Linked DNA regions of Elephas maximus indicus. The protein of the gene in region 2 interacts with the protein of the main gene of each other region in a biochemical or structural test. Links are inferred from orthologs where the notes say so. Each region holds a gene or a part of one and is shown on either strand. Other genes may lie near its edges.

The links. The genes of interacting proteins can lie anywhere in the genome.
Region 1: the proteins of EZR (region 2) and ICAM3 form a complex in vitro, tested with the Homo sapiens proteins (2 studies listed by BioGRID). The link is inferred for Elephas maximus indicus from reciprocal best matches to the Homo sapiens genes EZR and ICAM3.

What each region holds. Positions count from the first base shown.
Region 1 is NC_064821.1:28,442,183-28,451,915, reverse strand, and holds the start of ICAM3 (intercellular adhesion molecule 3), read left to right. Parts: upstream 1-5,417; 5' UTR 5,418-6,262; coding exon 6,263-6,344; intron 6,345-6,886; coding exon 6,887-7,153; intron 7,154-7,159; exon of another isoform or gene 7,160-9,733. UniProt on the Homo sapiens protein: ICAM proteins are ligands for the leukocyte adhesion protein LFA-1 (integrin alpha-L/beta-2). ICAM3 is also a ligand for integrin alpha-D/beta-2. In association with integrin alpha-L/beta-2, contributes to apoptotic neutrophil phagocytosis by macrophages.
Region 2 is NC_064819.1:231,084,843-231,095,121, reverse strand, and holds the start of EZR (ezrin), read left to right. Parts: upstream 1-5,573; 5' UTR 5,574-5,761; coding exon 5,762-5,773; intron 5,774-10,279. Other genes in the region: translation initiation factor IF-2-like, read right to left, coding at 4,182-4,877. UniProt on the Homo sapiens protein: Probably involved in connections of major cytoskeletal structures to the plasma membrane. In epithelial cells, required for the formation of microvilli and membrane ruffles on the apical pole. Along with PLEKHG6, required for normal macropinocytosis.

The DNA.
Region 1 (9,733 bases), on a different chromosome or scaffold from region 2:
TCATGGAGACGGTGCAGGACCAGGCAGTGTTTCGTCACCGGGAATCGGAGGCTGACTGATGGTAGCTAACACCACCAGGATTGACACGGTTCAAAATTCAAAAAGCACTTAAGAATGGGCAGTAAAATGGCTCCTTCCTCTGTCCATCTGCCATCTCTTTCTTATCCCCAGAAGCAACCAATGTCTTCAGGTTTCCTATGTTTGCTTCCAGAGATCTTTTATGCAGATACAAGGAACTCTGCATATATGTTATATGCTTTCCCATCTTTTGCAAAAATCGCATGCTCTACCATACAGAGCTTCTACTCTGTATCTTGCTTTTTTTGTTTGTTTTATATAATAGATCCTGGAGATAGTTCCATGTACCAAGGCATCCAGAAGGTCTTCATTCTGTTTTATGATGATTGTGTAGTAGGTCTCTGGGTGGTGCAGTTTGTGCTTGACTACTAAACTAAAGGTTGTCAGTTCAGATCCACCCAGTGGCACTGTGGAAGAAAGGCCTGGCAATCTGCTTCTATAAAGATTACAACCAAGAAGAACCTATGGAGCAGTTCTCTGTAACACATGAGTTGCCATGAGTCAGAACTGACTTGATGGCAATGGCTTTGTTTTTTGTTTTTTTGTGGCCCATTGCTTAAGTGTTAACAACGTTTGTCCCCAACTGGTATTCTTGTAGGACCCCTAGTGGTGCGGTGGTTAAGAACTCAGCCGCTAACCAAAAGGTTGGCAGTTCGAATCCACCAGCCACTCCTTGGAAACCCTATGGGGCAGTTCTACTCTGTGCTTTAGGGTCGTTATGAGTCAGGATCGACTCGACAGCAACGGGTTTGGTTTTTTGGTTTTGGTGTTCTTGTAGTTCGATTCCAACCCTTCCCGTTCCTATAATGCTGCTGCAGTGAGTGACTGTCTCACCCATGTGCAAGGGGACCCTAGGATGTATATTCAGCCGTGGAGTGGCAGGTTGCAGGGTCTGGGCCTGGTAATTTTGAAAGAGGCTGCCACTATGTTTGAATAGTTTATAGAACCGTTCTCTCCTCATTCTTTTTTCAAAATTATCTTGACTTAATCTTGCGTAGTTATCTTTTTTTTTTTGAACATTTTCTTATGGACGTTTTAAAGCATATTCAAAACTAGAGACATTAAGATAACCTGTACTTAGCTGTCACCCAGCTTCACCAGTTTCCAAAGCCCATGGCCAGTCTAGTTTCAGTGTTGCCGCTACCCCAGCCCCTGACACCGGATAATTTTGAAGCAAATCGCAGACATCGTTTCACCTGTAAAAACCTCAATATGTATCTCAAAAAGATAATGACTGAAACAACCACAGTATCATATCATTATCAACCTAAAATTAATAATAATTCCTCAGCATCATTGTATGGCCTCTTAGTATTCAAACTTCTCCAATTGTCTCTTAAATATTTGTTATTTGTTTATTTGTTTACAGTTTGTTCGAATAAGGATCCAAGGTCCACATGCTGCATCATTAAATTCCAGGTTCCCGTCCTCTTTTTTCCTCTCTGGCAACATATTTGAAGAAAAAACCAGGTTGTTTGTCTGGTAGACTGCTATCTTCGCGGTGGCTTATCGAGTTCCTCTGAGATTCCTGTGAAGTCTTGGTCAGATTCAGTTTCACTTTTGGGGGGAGACCTCTCCGCAGGAGGCATTGTGCTTTCTCAGCAGGGGGCACAGGGGGTCCGGCTGACACTCCTTTTGTGACATGAACAGCCTCGGGGCTCTATGCCCTGATCCATCAGGATGCAATTTTTACTTTCCAAATGTTCAAACATACAGGAAAGTTGAAAGAATTGCACAGTGACCACCACTGGATTCCACAATTAATATGCTGTTAAATTTGCTGCTAACTGAAAAGTTGGAGGTTTGAGTCCAGCCAGAGGCACCTCAGAAGAAAGGCCTGGTGATCTACTTTGAAAAACTCAGACATTGAGAACCCTACCGAGCACAGTTCTACTCTGATACATGTGGGGTCACCAGGAGTCGGGGTTGACTTGACAGCAAGTGGTTAAATTTGCTTTAGCATACTGCATCTCTCCATCTCTCCATTCCTCCACCCCCCTCATGTTTTGAGTGCAAATCAAAATAGGTGGATGTAATTGTTTTTAATATGGCTTTTCCCGTGAAATATCCTGCTAGAGTTTCAACAGGATTGCAAGCCCTGATGTCTTTGCAGTTTTGAGCAGTATTTCCCCACCTGAAGGGGTCCTCAGAAATTCACAAGATGAGAGGTGTCACTGTCAGGACTTGTCTGCTTAATCTTCCAACTCCCTGTGCCTCCTCGGGCAAGTCACGCCACTTTTCTGAACTTGTTGCCTCAGCTGTAAAATGGAGAAAACCAGGGGCCTCGTGGGCTTAGGGCGAGGGTTAGATATATGCTGGGCAGTGTGCTGAGCTCTGTACATGTATTAAAGTGCTCAGTGATCACACCACTCCAGAAGGGAGCACTGTGATTGCCATGTTACCATTGAGGAGATGGCAAACACGGCTCAGGCTTGAGCCCAGTCAGCCCTGTGAGCCCCGTGAGGCGGTCCCACCCCCACTGCTGTGGACAACAGGGTGCAGTTGTGAGGCCACAGACTCTGCATTAGGTCCTTGTGTGCTGGTTCAGCTCACTGGCTGCTCCTGGCATCTCTAGAAGGTCGTTTTTAGTTATCCTAGAGCTGGCTCCAACCCATGGTGACCCCATGTACAACAGAACGAAGTGTTGCCCAGACCTTCGTCATCTTTGCGGTCGGTGTGCTCAAATCCATTATTGTGGCCGCTGTGTATTTTAAGTGCCTTCCAATCTAGGGGCTCATCTTCCAGCGCTATGTCATACGATGTTCTGTTGCGATCTATAGGGTTTTCATTGGCTAATTTTCAGAAGTAGATCGCCAGGGCTTTTTTTCTAGTCTGTCTTAGGCCGAAATGCTCCACTGAAACCGGTCCACCATAGGTGACCCTGCTGGTACTTGAGATACTGGTGGTGTAGTTTCCAGCATCACAGCAACACACACAAGCCACTACAGTATGACAACCTGACTGACAGGTGGCAGTCTAGAAGGTGGGGGCTCTGGACATGCCCACTTCACAGATGAGGAAGTTCAGGGTGGGACAGTTCCAACACGGTGTGATACAATAGCAGATACTTCATATCTTTCCTGGGCTGGGGAGCACCCTCTCCTCCCACCTGTCTCAAGCTCAGACATTGGCCTTTCACGTTCTAGGGTCCTGTTTTCCCACCCAGGTGGGGCAGTCATCACTCATGTCTTCCAGAGACTTGGTGGCCACTGCCACCACACTTCTTCCTGGGCTCCCCGCTTCTCTCTTCACTCCCTCTTGGCCCAAGGGACCAAGCCCCTGGCAAGATCTACCCCCCACAGGGCAGGGTTGGGAGCAGGGAGGGCACAGACATCGCCTGTCTCCTTTGCCAAGGGACATCTGTTCTTTGTGAATCACCTATTAGGGCAACATCCCGGAGTTCACAGAAGCCTGCGAGGGTCCCACAAAAGGATTTCAGGGGTCACAAGACCCCCAACCCATGTACCAAATTTCTGTGTGTGTCCATCCAACAAATATTCATTGAGAACCTACTGTGTGCCAGACACGGTTCTAGTCACTGGGGTACAGCAGTGAGCTAGGCAAAGATTTCCGCCCTTATATTCTAGGTGGGAGAGGCATTCAAGGGGCAGTAAGAAAAAAAAAAAAGGGGTTAGTAAATTATAAGTATGTTAGAAAGTGATGAAAGAAAAAACAGTAAATTATAAATATGTTAGAAGGTGATGATTTATGGGGACAAAAGGTAAAGCCTAAGGCTGAGTGACAGTTGTAAAATGGGTGACCAGGTGTGGTGAAACGAATTCCTGTATATGGCCTTTTACCTTGGTTCTTTGAAAAAACAGCTTGAGATTTTTTTCCCCGTAAGGCCTGAGGGGTTATCTTTGTCCTAGTTTTCTACCCCAGAGGGTTTGTTACTTTTGTCCAGGTTGATTGATATTTCCTGGGTAAATTGTGAATAACTTGATTTGATACTTTTGGTCTGGTCCTGGGCTGCAGCCTGCCCTGTGATTGGTATGCACCTTGCAGGGATTTGTTGATAGACTATGCAAATGAGAGGAGGTGTAGCCTACTATGCAAATGAAGTGTCTGAGGCCTACTGAGAGGGGATTGGTCAGCTTGTGCCCACCCCCATTGGGAGGGGCCATGCCTTGAAATTGACAAGCAGTTGTGTATATAAGCAGCCAGCACCACAGAGGTTTTTGAGATAGAAGCAGGAAGAAAAGCAGCAGAGAGAAGAGACAAGGAACCTCCTAAAAGGGCTGTAACCCAGGTCAAGAGCCATAACATTAAAGACAGCAAGGGACCCAGTGGCAGGGCCAGGAGCGACAGGCCCAGCTTGGGCCCATGGCAGAGTGGGCAGTAATGGATGGCAAGGCCAAGAGGAGCCTGTCCTACCGAGAGGAGCTGAGAGAGCTGTCCTGCACTGAAGAAGGGGACTCTGCCTACATGCTTCCTGATCCTGAGTTGTAGTCTGTTACTTCCTGAATAGACCACTTAACTATGCTCTTTGAGTTCTGTGTGGCCACTGCAACAGATTATCAAGCCCAGAAGAGAAGTAGAGTGCTGTGGGAGGAGTGGTTGGTGTCAGAATCGGTAAAAAGGCTGGAGAGTGGAGGTATGTTTGGTCTCCAGCTCATAGTGATCAGCCTTGGGCTGATCTTGAATTGCATTGTCCTCCCTGAAGTTAGACAGGTTCTGATGCTGCTACTGATACTGCTACTAGTACTACTACTGCCCCCATTTTACACCTGGGAAGGCCTCACCTGAGTAGATGGAGGTGAGGGAGGAGCCATGTCCCCCCGTGTAAATATAGAGTGGTCCAGGCAGAAGGAACATCATGTGCGAAGGCCCGGAGAGGGGACTGTTCTGGGTGAGTGGTGTGGTCTTGAGGCACAGCAGAGAGGCCAGTGTGGCTGGAGCAGAAAGAGGAGAGGAAGCTGGGAGGAGCTAAGGGCAGAGGGGTCCTGAGCAAACAAAAGGAGCAGCTAGGCCCAGGCAAGGAGTCTGGAGGATGTGAAACAGAGGGAATGACGGGATTTGATTTGCCTTTTGAGTTGGTCTCTCAAGAACTGTGGCAAGCGGATCTTTTGGGGGACAGAGCAGCAGCAGAGAGACTTAGTTGGTGGGATCTCCAAGCAAGAAGGGGCGGGTGCTATGGCCTTAGGGATGGGGAAAATAGATGAATACCAGGCACGGCACTATCAAGGCCCTCAACAAGGTCTCTCTTATAGAACTGGGATAGAGGCACAGGAAGTGAGGAGGCTGGTGGAGAGCTGAGAGAGGCAGAGAAGGAGAGAGGGCAGGGCCGGGGGGAGGGGAGGGGAGGAGAAAGGGCAGAGCACTTTTCTTGGAGTGAAGAAACAAGCTGGAGGGGCAAAGGCAGGGTGCAGGACAGGGGTAAAAGCCAGTTACAAGTGGCATCTTCAAGACAGTGGCCCAGGACTCGTTCCTAAGACACCTGCCTTGGCACTGCCTGCAGGGAGTGGGAGATCCTCAAGATCTTCAAAGGTAAAGGACCTTCAGGGGCCATGGCCTTGCTCAGGGTCAGCACAGGGCCTGGCATCTAGTAAGCGCTCAATAAATGTGGGTTCTGTTCATTTTTATGGCATCTCTCATCCTAGGGGTTCCTCACTGTCACCCCCAAATTCTTTATTTGCCCCCCAGAATGTTAAAATTTCACACTAACTTCTTGAGGCTATGCTTAAAAGTCTCCCATTGTCACCCCCTTTGAAAGTTTGCCTTGAAATCCCACCTAGCGCCTCGAGGACAGTGCCCAGAGGGCCCCCCCCGCATTAACTTCCCTTTCTAAGGACCAATCACCATCTCACCCAGTTCTGAAGGAAGGTGTCTCATCACCCCCGCCTCCCCGCAGGGTCCCTGTTGGTGAAAACAAAGGAAACCAGTTGTGTTAGCACTTCCTGTGGGTTCACCTGGGAGCCAGCAGTGCAGCTAAGGTCTGCCCTGTCAGAGACTTGCCAGTGCCCAGCGACCCCACCCCCACCCCCGGGGCTTCTTGGGCCCCGCACCTGCCGAGGTAGCCCACTCTGGGGCCACAGAGAATCCCCCTGCCCCTCCCTGGGCCTGGCCACAGTGCAGCCCCTGGCTTCTGCCATCCTAACCGCCATTTCCGTTCCCTGGGTGACCTACCCACCCCCTGCACTGCTGGCACCTCATCAGGGCACCTTTTCCCCAAAGACTGACCACCATGGTGCCCTTGGCACCACTGCTCCAGGCCTGCCTGTCTCTGCTCATCCTCCTGCTGCTGGTCTGCTGCCTGCTGCCCCCAGGTGAGTGCCTAGGGTTGGGGGGACTAGTAGGTTGGGGGCGGGGAACGGAGAAAGCACAGCTGCCCACATCCTGCTGGTCTGGTTGCTGTGCGCCTTTCTGGGAACTCGAATCTGATCGGAGCTCCTCCATGTCCTCTGGAGAAAGTCGGGCTCCTTAACTGGGCTTCAGGGATCCCCACAGCCCGGTCCTCTTGTGTGACTTGTGCTACACACGCACACTCTCCATGAGCCATCAGGACCCCCAGCCCTTTGCGTATGCTATTCCCTCTGCCAGGAACACTTTTCCCTTCTACATGGCTAACTCCTATCCACCTTTCAGAGCTGGCTGTAGGTGTCTGTTCCTCCAGGAAGCCTCCTGTAACCCACTCTCTCCTTTAGGGTGGATCAGGGCCTCCCTCGGAATTCTCCCCGTTTTTTTTTCTGGTCATCTGTCTTCCCCACCAGACTGCTTCCCCTCATATCCCAGCATGAAGAGGGGGCCTGCAGAGGGGTGGGTTGGGGGATACTGGAACAGCCACCTGAGCTTCCTCATGCCCCCGCAGGTGCCCAGGGGCAGGTGTCCCCCCTGCGGGTGGAGCCCCAGAACCCAGTGGTGCCCACTGGAGGGTCGCTCCTGGTGAACTGCAGTGCTGACTGCCCGGATCCTGAAAATATCATCCTGGAGACGGCCCTGTCCAAGCAGCCAGTGGGCAGTGGACTGAGCTGGTCAGCCTTCCAGCTCAGCAATGTGACTGGTGACAGCGACATTATCTGTGCTGGGTTCTGCAATGGCTCCCAGATTAGTGGCTCTACCAGCATCACCGTGTACCGTGAGTGGACGGGGCTGGCGACTGGCAGCGGGCAGCAGTTGGGGGCTGAGTTTGCAGGAATGGACCAGGGCTCTGACCCAGGGCTGGACCTGGACGTGTGTGTGTGTGTGTGTGTGTGTGTGTGTGTGTGTGTGTGAGAAAAACAGAAAGACAAACACATACAGACATACATCTCAACCTTTTGCCAGGGGCCCAGTTGTGAAATCAATTTATTTGGGTCCCAATGAGCAATTTTTAAAACGTTATCTCATGTCTTTTATTTATTACTTTTATTCTGATGGTAGGTAAAAATTAATGTGGTTCAAAACCCAAGAAATATAAAAAGATGTAAAGTAAAAATTGTCATTTGCCTAGCACTCACTGCATATGGGCATTATCTTAAGGGCTTGACACCTATTTGTTCATTCAATCCTCACAAAAGCCCTGGGAGGTAGGTGCAGTGATAAGCCCCATTTCACAGACAGGGAAACTGAGGCTCAGTGGGGTGAAGTCACTTGCCAGTGGCAGTCCAGCATCCAAGTTTCTGCTCTTAACAGGTAGTCTTTCTTCCCAGAACTTCTATCCCTGTTACCAGTGTTTTAGACATCCTTTCAGAGTTTCTCTGCATTTTAAAAAATAGAACAGACTAGAAAATAACAGACGATGTCACACATAGTGACTACTATTTTGTGAAGGCTTTGTAAGTGAATGTAGTGTACCTGTCTGAGATTATGAATATGCCCGTGAGTTTGTGTGTGTGTGTGTCGGGATCTGTGTGGCAGTTTTTCATGTACTTACGTGTTTGTCCCTGAGCCTATGTATCTGTGTATGTCAGTATTCGTGCGTGTCCGTGTGAACGGACATATATATCTGTGTTAGTGTCTGTCTGTACGGGTGTCTGTGTCTCTGTGTTTGTGTGTGCCTACAGCTGTGTGTGCCTGTGTGTACGTGTCTATCTCTGCATGTGCTGTCTGTGAATATATATGTCTGCAGATCAGTATCTGTGTGTATGTGTCTCTGTTGTTGTTGCTGTCAGGTGCCCATGAGTCAGTGACTCTACATACAACAGAACGAAACACTTCCTGGTCTCGCGCCATCCTCAAAAGCATTGCTGTGTTTGAGCCCACTGTGACAGCCATCGAGTCAATCCATCTCCCTGAGGGTTTTCCTCTTTTTTGCTGACCCTCTACTTTACCAAGCATGATGTCCTTCTCCAGGGACAGGTCCCTCCTGATAACATGTCCAAAGTACATGAGATGAAGTCTCACCATCCTTCTTTCCAAGGAGCATTCTGGCTGTACTTCTTCCAAGACAAATTTGTTCTTCTGGCAGTCCATGGTATATTCAATATTCTTTGCCAACATCATAATTGAAAGGCAGCAATTCTTCTTCGGTCTTCTTTATTCATTGTGTAGCTTCCACATGCACATGAGGTGATTGAAAATACCACGGCTTGGGTCAGCTGCACCTTAGTCCTCATCTAAGGCTGGGTTCTCTAGAGACACAAAACCAGTGAAGTGTATAAATATATATATAGAGAGAGATTTATATCAAGGAAGTGGCTTATGTGGTTGTAGAGACTGGAATGTCCCAAGTCTGTGGGTCAGGAGGCTTCTCCTGATTCACATAGCCGCAGTGCCTGGAGAACCCAAGATTGGTAGGTCAGAGAGCAGGGCTGTTGCTCACAGGCTGTGAAGACTGACGAATCCTGAGATCGGCAGGCAAGACCACAGGTAAGATGCTAGCTTAAGTCCCAAGGACCAGAGGCCAGATGAGCAGGAGCCACCTGCAGGAGCCAGCTGCAGGATCCAGAGAGAGTAAAAGCCCACCAGAATGTCCCTTGTCAGAACGTCCACTTATATTCGATGCAGGCCACACGCCCAAGGAAACTCCCTTTCAACTGACTGCTCACAGCAGATCCCATCATGGGGGTGATCACATTATATCAAATCTCAACATGGAAGTGATCACAACATCATACGATTGCCAAACCACTGAGAATCATGGCCCAGCCAAGTTGACACACAATCTTAACCATCACAGTCCTTAAAGTAACATCTTTGCTTTTTAACACTTTAAAGAGGTCTCTTGCAGCAGATATTTCCAATGAAATACGTCCTTTGATTTCTTGACTGCTGCTTCCATGGGCATTGATTGTGGATCCCAGTAAACTGATATCCTTGACAATACTTTCTTTTTATCAAGATGTTGCTTATTGGTCCAGTTGTAAAGATTTTTGTTTTATGTTGAGGTATAATCTATACTGAAGGCTGTAGACTTTGATCTTCATCAGTGTTTCAAATCCTCATTGTGTCCTGGAACAGAAGAGTCTGAAACTTGCTCTTGAACATAGAGTAGCTAAAGCTAATGGAAGAAATGAAGTAAAAGAGATGAACAGAAGATTTCAAAGGGTGGCTTGAAAAGACAAAGTATTATAATGACATGTGCAAAGACCCAGAGTTAGAAAACCAAAAGGGAACAACACTCTCAGCATTTCTCAAGCTGAAAGAATTGATGAAAAAATTCAAGCCTTGAGTAGCAGTATTGAAGGATTCTACAGAGAAAACATTGAATTGCACAGGAAGTATCAAAAGAACATGG
Region 2 (10,279 bases):
AGTGGCTGGTGGGTTTGAACTGCCAACTTTTCAGTTAACAGCCGAGCACTTTAACCACTGTGCCACCAGGGCCCAGATTACTGGTACACAAATTATTAAATCAGTCAAGGAAACTCCATGAAAATATAACACCTAAGCTTCTTACCTGTATCCATTGCTGTCAAGTCGATTCTGACTCATAGCATCCCTGTAGGACAGAGAACTGCCCCACAGGTTTTCCAAGGAGCAGCTGGTGGATTTGAACTGTCGACTTTTTGGTTAGCAGCTGAGCTCTTAACCACTGTGCCACCAGGGCTCAGCTGACCCGGATTATAGAATGCCATCATAATAGTACCAAGAGGTGCTTTGTAGCTTATTGTCCTGGGTCAATCCAACACATGGCGATGCCAAAGACCCTTTAGAAGTTCTTTCTAAATGCACTGCAGATTCGAATACAGCTGAGTGGTCACTTGTCAGCTTGGTTGGGTCATTCTGAGTCCTTAGTTGTCGTGTACTCTCTTACCCACACTGTAAGGACAGGTCACCCTTGCACAGGCCAGAACGGAATGTGAGATGATAATAGAAATTTACATACCGTGTTCAGGGAACTTTCTAAGGTTACATGAAATGTTTATTTCTCTTTAGCTATCATCTCTGCCAATGGAAAGCTGACCCCAATGTTAAGTCTAAAACATTTATTAAGAAATACTTCATATCCACAAAACACGCACCAAGGCTGTTCCAAGGACACCTGTGAACCACCACTCATCCTAATGAAGCACCACCACGCAGACGAGCCACCACGCAGACGAGCCACCACGTAGCCCCTCTAATTGCCGCCTTGTCCCTGTCCTCCAGACGCAGTCACTGCCCGAATTTTCAGCCAAGGTTATTAAGTGCCAGAGAGGGACCAACACCCCTGTATAAAGAGCCCTCTTTATGTATTTCCCTACCGCCTGTTGACTGTTCCTTTGAAGCAACTGAGGCTAGAGACCGTCGCACTACTTTGAGCTTTTCTTTTTTTCTTTTACTAGTTCAGATTAGCAAGAGAAAGACCTGGCAATCTGCTCTTGTAAAGATTAACCCATTGCTGTGGAGTTGATTCTGACACATAGCGACCCTATAGGACAGAGCAGAACGGCCCCATAGAGTTTCCAAGGAGCGGCTGGTAGATCTGAACTGCTGACCTTTTGGTTAGCGGCGTATCACTTAACCACTGCGCTGCCAGGGCTCAGACCAGACCAGCTGCCATTGAGTCCACTCAATTCCGGGATGCAATTCCGCTGTCACATGGGGTCTCTAAGAGCTGGAAATCACTGATGGCACCTAGCAACAACAACAGCTGAGATTAAGCTGGCACCAGTGTGAGATACAAATACGACAGGCTCGGAGGCAGTGTGACAGACAGTCTACATATGGGGAACGTGAACATTCTGCGTACTACAGCTCTTGCCCTTGCCCACGGGCTGCCCCACCTCACTTTGGTTTAACCTTGCCTGAAGAACTCCAGGCAGCTGACAAACAGCCTTTCCTCGGGCCCAGGAGGCAGATGGATGATTCCCTCCTCTCAGTGAAAAACTGAAACCCCTCAATGAGGAGCGAGTAGCTCAAGGTCAAAGAGGTAGACAAAGGAAAGCAGGGAATAGCGCCAAGACTCCTGGCTCCAGAGTTTCCTCACTGCCGTTCACTGCATTGATTATCATACATTAAACAGAACCACAGCTGACAAATGCCAGCATAACCTGACAAAAGAAGGGTGAAGGGGGAGGCAAGGTGAATAAAACTCGTCAAGATCCTTTCACATCCTAAGTCAGTGGTTTGCAAATTTTGGTGTATGTCAGAGCCACCTGGGGGACTTGTTGAAGACATTGACTCCCACGGCCCACTTTAGACTGCAAACCAGCAAACACCAAACCAAACCCACTGCTGGCAGGTTGATTCCCACTCACAGTGACTCTACAGGACAGAGTAGAATTCCCCCTTTGGGTTTCCAAGGAGCGGCTGGTGGATTTGAACTGCCGAACTTTTGGTTAGCCATCGTAACTCTTAACCATTGCACTACCAGGGCTCCACCATAATTCCTACAGGGGGGCTCCATGAGATATTTTAATGCACACCTAGGTTTGAGAGTCACTGTCCTAAGCAATTCTCGTAGACTGCTTTGGAGTTCAATCTTTTGTGTGTATGTTGTGTGTAGAGGTGGGGAGGTAAGCTGGAGGCAGGGTTTAGGTTCTGTCGGTTGCCATGGAATCGCAAGATTGGGACCCCATGTGTGTCAGAGCAGAGCTGTGCTCCGTAGTTTTCAATGGCCGACTTTTCAGAAGTAGATCACCAGGGCTTTCTGTTAGCAGCTGAGCGCATTAACCCTTTGCATCACCCAGGGACTTCTTAGGTTCTAAACCAGAAAAAAGCCAAAAAACTAACCCATCGCCATTGAGTCAATTCTGACTCATAGTGGTCCCATGGGACAGAACTGCCCCATAGGGTTTCCAAGGCTATAAATCTTTATGGAAGCAGACTGTTGGGTTCAAACCACTGACTTTTCAGTTAGCAGTCAAGTGCTTAACCACTGCATCACCAGGGCCTACAGCCTTGGTAACCCTATGGGGCAGTTCTACTCCGTCCTATAGGCTTGCTATAATATGGAATCAACTTGAAGGTTTTTGTTCTGCTGTTTGCTTCTCAGGCCTGTGATCCTTTCATTTCACAATGCCACCGGCCATTTCATCTTCAGCAGTCCCCTGGAGGGTAAAGTTCAGAAAACATCCTGGACTATTTCAAACCTCCAATTCAGAAGACAGTACACTTTGAACTGAGATTTAAAAAAAAAGATTAGAAGCATACCTTATCTGCAGAGTTGGAGACCAAAAATAACCACCAAGGCCCCAGGCAGTGAAAAGGAGGCGGAGATAAAGTATATTAAGAGTAGTATGTCCAATCTGACCCATTATCATTTCAGGTTATTTAAATATATTTCATAGTTTCCTTCCTACTGCAGTTACCATAAGGTCATTTTAATAAAAAAGATACTCATTCTTTCAGAGGTAACAGCTTGCCAGAAAAGAGAACAAATCTCAGAAAAGGCCTCCCTCCACGCCTGCCTCTGAAATGCCCCATTCTGCAGCTTGGGAAGGTCACAGGTGCTAAATGACCAAAGTTCATCAAGAAACAACCCCTGCTGTGACAGGTTAAGCATTACCATGAGCCGAATACCTTACCAGGCACTTTGCATGCATAATATCTTTGAATCTTTACAAGTCTATGTGAAAGTGCTGCTATTATCTCCATTTCACAAATTGGGAATTTTAGAGGGTTTGCTACTTTGCCCAAAGTCACCAGTTATGCTTTGCGAGGAGATATCTGAATGCTTACTACCTACCGCCAAGTACTGTTCCAAACATCTTTCATATAGTAGCCCATTTAACCCTCATAATAACCTTATGAAATAGGTGTCATTGTTATGCCATTTTACAGATGAGAAAAGTAAAGCACAAAGTTGTTAAATAGCTCACTAGGCTCACACAGGGAGTTAGTGGCAACCCCAGAAGGGAATTTAGGGGGAAACCCTAGTTCTCAACTTTCAGCCTACACATCACAATCACCCGAGGGGTTGTTATTATGCAGATGGCAGGCCTTAGTTTCTGATTCGGCGGGTCTGGGGTAACACCTGAGAACCTGCATTTCTGACAAGCTCCCAGGTGATGCTGATAGTCAGGGCACCTCTGGAGTTTGCTCTCTAAATCGCTGAGCAGCATATTCTACTGGCTACCAGAAGTACACACACGCCTTTTTACTTTTTTGTTTGTTTTGTTTTTTAAATTCCTCGGGAGAACCATTTGCGATAATAATAAAAATAACTCCTAGAATTTCAGAGGTGACTTCCTATGAAGTGAACAATAGCTTTTTGCTAGTCAAGTCCTGTAAGGACACTCATTTGCCCTTTAACTAGGTACTGGGGGACGGTGCGTTTTCTGTTCTTTAACTTTCTTCGCGGAATCGGGACGTGGACGTGGCTGGGCCACGTGCGCGGGGATGCAGCCCGCAGGTCCCGCCAACCTAGGCCGCCCTCAGACTTGGGGCAACCGAGTGACCAAGGGCGGCGTCATCCCGAGACGGAGACGGCACAGCAGCTCCCCCGTGGCTGCCCGCCACTCCAGGCTTATTTAGGTTTTCTCGATTCCCTCTGTTCACTGTGGACAGGCTCACACCTTACATCTACCCTCAGGAGAGGAACCAAACTCTGCCAAGTTCTCTCCAAGGGCAAAGGCCGGGCAGCGGCCAGGGCAGATCTTTAAGATGGAGACTCGACGAGCGCGCCCTCCCGACCCGCGGCCATCTTGCGCCCAGGGCGCTCCTCGTGGTCGGCCGGGAAGGGCGCGGTCCCCCACACACCCGCCCCGCCGGGCTCTCCGGGCCGGGCTCTCCGGGCCGGGCTCTCCGGACCGCGCTGCTGCCCGGGCGGGAGTGGCTCGTGCCGCCGCAGGTGTGGTGGGCTGGTATCGGGGGCGCCGCTGCGAGCGCCAGGGTCGTCCCCGGAGCCGAACCCCGGGCTGGGCCGCCCCCCACTGGGCTGCCTGCGGCTTCTGGGGGGCTTTCTTGGGGGCCACACCGCTGGCCTGTTCACCGGCCCGCCGAGCGCCGAGCTGCCGTGGCCTTCCTTCCGGAAAAGGGCGGTCGCGCAGGAAAGGGGTCCTCCGAAGCGCGGCGGCGGCAGCGGTGGTTTTAGCCCCGGGACAAACAGTTGCTACACAAAGTGAAACTTGCTGCGGGCGCCTTACCACCGCTTCCGCCGAGCCCGGGGACTCTGGGGCCCGCCCGTCCGCGTTCCCCTGGGGGACTCTCGGGCCCACCCCACGGCCCTTTCCGGAGCGACCCGGCGCCCCCGTCCCGGTTCCCATGCGCCCCGCCCCCTGGCTGATCCCACGGCCTTCCCCAGAGCGACCCGACCGCCCTCTCACGTCCCCGAGCGACCCGCTTCGCGCGCGCTCTGCCCTACCGGGCGCAGAGACCCTCGAGACCCTCCCCGGAGCGACGCGGCGACCCCTCCCCGGTCCGCGTGCGCCTCCACTTCCCGCGCTCCCCGCCTCTGCCGGCGGGCGAGGCCCCTTCGGCCGATCCCAGGGCTCTCCTCGGAGCGACGCGGCCGCCCCTCTCCCGGTCCTCGTGCGCCCCCTCTCCCCGCGCTACCCCCCTGGGCGCCGAACCCCCCCCCCCACCACGGCCCACCCCAGGGCGGCGCGGCTCCACTTGCCGTGCCCCGGAACACCGAGACTCCCACAGCGCTCCCCGGCGCCCCCTCCGAGCCCCCGTGCGCCTCCGTTTCCCGCGCTCCCCGCCCTGGGGCGCCGAGACCCCCCCACGGCCCACCCCGGAGCGGCGCGGCCGCCCCCCTCCCGGTCCCCGCGCGTCTCCACTTCCCGTGCCCCGGAACACCGGGACTCCCGCAGGCTCCCCGGCGCCCCCTCCCAGCCCCGTGCGCCCCCGTTTCCCGCGCTCCCCGCCCCCCGGCTCCGAGGCCCGGCCCCGCCCCGGCCGCAGGCCCCGCCCCGCCCCGCCCCGCCCGGCCGCGGTAATTGCAGGTTGGGCTGTGACTCACCGGGGCCCGCCCGGCCGGTTCTTAAGCGGCGGCGCGCGGGGCGGCCGGGGTCTCGGTGCGCCGCGGAGCAGCCTGCTGTCCTGCGCCTCACCGCTTCCTCGCACTCCAGGTCGGCGGGTCCCTTCGGCTGCTGCGACTGAGAGTTGTGTTTCCGAGGGATTGAGGAGAACCTCCCGGGAACCGAAAATGCCGAAACCAGTAAGTGGCCCGGTGCCAGCGCTGGGCTGGGTGCGGCCGGCGTATCTTCGAGGGGAGCGAGTTACCTGGACGCGCGTGGGGCTGCTACCTGTAGGACAGGGCTCGCTTCCAAACGGAGGGAGGACGGCGACGGGGACTTGGCCCCTCTTTGTTATCTGCTGACTCTTTTGTGGGCTGTGATGCCTTTCTTTCTACAGTCTTTCTTTGTGAACCATCTTCCCTCCCTCCCCGGTTACGGTCTTTTGAAAAAATTAGAATTTCCACTTTTACACGGCTTCAGTGTGTTTTAAAAGTGTTTTCGAATGCAATTTTGAAGCTTCTTAAAAAAAGAAAAGCTGTCTGGATCGCAGCAAGAGCTCCGGACGACGGATAGGAACTCCCAGTTCCTTCTAGCGTCCGAAAGCGAACGTAACCCAGACTTCCCTTGAAATTCGAACGGCGCCAGGGAGAGGGGACACGCCTTTCTGGCCCGCAGTGTCGCCCCAGTCCGTTTTACCCAAGCTGCGTTCTGTGGACGGGAATTTGCTGGGGGCAGCAGGACTCCGTCTCTGGCGGAGGCTTAGTAATGGGCTTGACTTGCAGATGAAGGCGGCCGGTGGAGTTTGGTCCGGTGGCCCCCTGGGCCTCTCCGGCCTCGCACTCCTGGTCAACATCAGCTGATTACGGCACTGCTGAACCCTGCTGCTCTGTTCGCTTTAATCTGATTTGTGCTCAGGTCCGGGGTTAGATCGGGGACCAGGTGTGGAGCGTTAGGCTTTCTTTTAAATTGTGGGAACAGCCAGGCTCTTTGGGACTGACTCGTTTTAGAAAGCTGTATCCACTTGCTTTAACACAGGTGAACTGGCCAGGAGACACTGAGGAAAGGGCTTAAAATGTTTTGGTTGAATTTGAATAACAATGGAGAAAATAAACTTCGGTCATTACAATTTGAAATAAAAGGTAAATAGGGAGTTTATTGCTAGTTTTTCAAACAAGTTAATTCTATAATCATCATACTTAGGTACTTTTTAGATTCCCCAAAAGCAGTTCTTTTACTGTTACATTTATTTTATTGGTGTTAATGGATACAGAAGGCAATGCTGTTTTCGCCTACGTTACATCGTCAAGTTGATTCATTCATGAAGATTTTTTTTTCTCCTACACAAAATTCTTCTTTTCATTTCAGACTTGCAGGAGGCACACACCACCCAGGCTTTGCGCTGTCAATGATATAAAACCCCCTTCCTCAGGGCCCAGCTCAGGAAGCACGTGATTCAGAGGAGTCAAGAGATCATTGTTTTGACTGTGGTTTTCTTTATTTAAAATAGAGATGAAGAGCTTAGCTTTTAAGATATCACTCAGGAAAATCCACAAACCTGTTTCCTGTCACTACGGTTCTTATTTCTTAGGATGAACGGTAATTTTTTTAATCTTTATTTTTTGTTAGGTATGTTTTAATTTCGGTTTGTTTAGAAAATTTTTTTATAATGAATCAGAAACTTAGCAAAAGTTCTGATAAACTGAGAATAGTTCTCGAGTTGCTAAGGAGGACGGGGCCGTCACCTTGCATGCGGGAATCTGAATAGCCAGGGTAGCTTTTTGAGACACTCTATTTTGTATAATATTGAAAAATTAGAAATAGCAGATGTTTTTGAGAAGTCAGTAAAAGGCCAGCTCCACCTGTTTGCAGTAGGAAATTCCTGCCTGCCGCCTTTTTGGCAGGGGAAGGTCTTGGAGATTTTGCCTGGTAAGAGAAACACACTTATTAAGCCTTTCTTTGTGTGATGCGTATTAGGGCCATCCCACAGATCACTGAGAAATGCTTAGTGGCCTTCAAACATATGCGTATAGTGCCTCTCAGGTGCTGTTATAGAGCATCTAGTTTGTTTGTTTTTCTGCCTCAGTAAATGTGAAATCCAACGCTTCCACCAGGTTCCGTAGATGTGTTCTTTAAACACATCTTTGAAGGTTCTTGATTCTAACTGTTCAAGCCCAAACTAAGAATTTTGTTAGGAGTCTTCAGTATGACTTGATGTTTAACAGCCCAGTTACCTATAAAGATGGAGACATCCGACTTACTGGGATTTTGCATTCCTTACAATCATTAACCTGTGAAGAATTCATCAGGCAGAGTAATCTTGGTTGCTTTGTCTAAACTGAGTCAGCCGACAGTGTTACCCAAAAAGCGGTATAAATGAGATACTGATTCGCTGTGCGTCCTCTTCATACTGCTTCTTGAGTCACCACTTGTTAAAAAAAGTGAGTGTTCATTCACTCGGCAAACACCTGCGGGCAGGTAACCTGCAGGTGGATGAGCCGGATTCATGGCCCCAGGGAAGCTTTCCAGTCTGGTTTTTAACCCAAGACACACACAAATGTTGAAATAGAAACTGGAAAACTTGGCAAAGTGCCCTAAAACAGTGCCCTCAACAGTCAGTGGCCTGATGGGGAGGACCAAAGAAAAGTAGTATGGCAGCCGCGGCTTGCACGGCTTGCACTAGAGCCGTGGGCGGCCTGATCAGCCAGGCCCTCCAAGGGGGGGGGGCACACCTGTGTATGGCTGGCCCTGGCTGGTTTTGCTTTTCCCACAGCTGCCTGGGGCTCATTCATGGGCAGCTGGTAGACTTCCAGGAAGAGTGATTTGGGGGTCTCAGGGCACAGTGCCAGGAGCTGGTTCAGGAAACAATCTCTGTCCTAAGGATTAGGGTGAGTGTGGAGTACCTCCTCCCTCCTTCCTTTCCCCCACACTTGCTTTCTTCATTGTTATAGGAGACACGGGCCATTAGAAAGACATGGGACGTTGGAAAACCCCTGCCATCAAGCCCAGCAGTGAAAAGGGCGTTGCCTTCGAGGCCTGTGATCAGCTTAGCGGGCTGAGCCTTATTCAGGTGGTAGAAACAGAAGCCTTAGTGGTCCTTTCTACAGTGGTTCCATACTTGTTTCTAACGCAAAAGTGGATCTACCCTTCATTAAGACAACTGTGAAAGTGTGTTCAAAATTCTGTGTAAACTGAGACAATCACCTCTGAGATTCCCTTCCTCTCTGAGAGTACACGGCCTCTTCCATGGTGGAAAAGGTAATCCACTGTGCTGAATGTTTTTGCAGGACAGAATTTGATGATATGTTTTCCATGGGCCCCACCTGTTGAGATGGGTGCACAGGGTCTGTTTTCTGCACCCCCGTCCTCCTTCACCATGGGTGGTAGGTGATTTCGGGAGCTAAGGTTGGGCCCTGTGGGGCGAGAAATGCTGGCTGGGAGTGTGGTCACTTGCCGTTGTCACACTGTAGGGCAGGAGGATGAGTCTGATTGCCCACTCATCTGCGAGCTTGGCAACATTTAACGTGCTGGTCCTTGTTCTGGGTGTTGACGGCACCGACGTGCACAGACACAGAAATTGTCTCTGCCGCCCTGGATTAACAGTTTGGGAGGGAGGCAGGCAGTTGTCACAGAGTTAACATAGAACTGCAGCTCTGGAAAGTTGCCTCATGACAGGTACACTGGTGCTGTGGGAGTATCTACAAGGGTGTGTGTGTGGTTGGGGGCGGGGCAGGGGTCCTTATCAGAGAAGTCAGCAGAGGCCCGCCTGAGCAAGGGACGATTGTGCAGAACAATGCAGAGAATGAAGGGGTGGTCTCTGGGTGAAAGGGGAGCAGAGGACGCACCAGGCTGCGGGAACAGCATGTACAAAGGCCCTAAGGTGGGAGGGAGGAGGATGAGCTTGGGGTATCAGATGGAGACCAGGGTGGTTGGGGAGGAAGACAGAGGTCAGGCTATGCACAGCCACATAGGCCCTGCCAAGGTGTTTTTGAGCTAAACCCAGTGGGAGACATTGAAGGGTTTTGACAGGAAGGAAGTAACACAATCAGGTCTGCCTTTTGAAAAGTTCATCGCAGCTGTAATATGAGCGCCTGCAGGAGGAAGGAGGGTAGGAGAGGATACGGTAGACTGTTGTATTCCAGAGAAGAGATGGTGGTAGCTTGGACCAAGATGGTGGTGGTAGAAATGGAGAGAGGTGGATGTATTTAGGAAGTAAAATTGGTTAAGACTCGGGGATGGATGTGCAGGGCTTGAGGGAGAGGGCGGTGTCCAGGCTGAGTTCTGGTTTCTGGCTTGCGTAACTGCATGGGTGATGGTGCCCTTCACCAAAAAAGGAGCCCTGGGAAAGGACCAAGTTTGGGGAGAAGGTTAAAAAAACAGTGGCTGGCAACCCATTCTCAGTCATGGTGACCCCATGTATGTCAGAGTAGAACTGTGCTCCAGAGGGTTTTTAATGGCTGATTTTGGGAAAGTAGATCGCCAGGCCTTCGGCAGTGCCTCTGGGTGGACTCCAACCTCTCGGCTAGCAGCCGAGCGCTGTTAACCAGTCACATCACTCAGGGACTGAGGGGAGGTGGTTAAGAGTTTGGTTATGTACATACTGTTAAAAGTTGTGACTGGTTGATGAAAGTGGTCCTCATTATAACTGTCCCCTACCCCAGTGTATGCAAATACTAGACTCACTAAGCTACAGTTCTTTTAAATCCAAG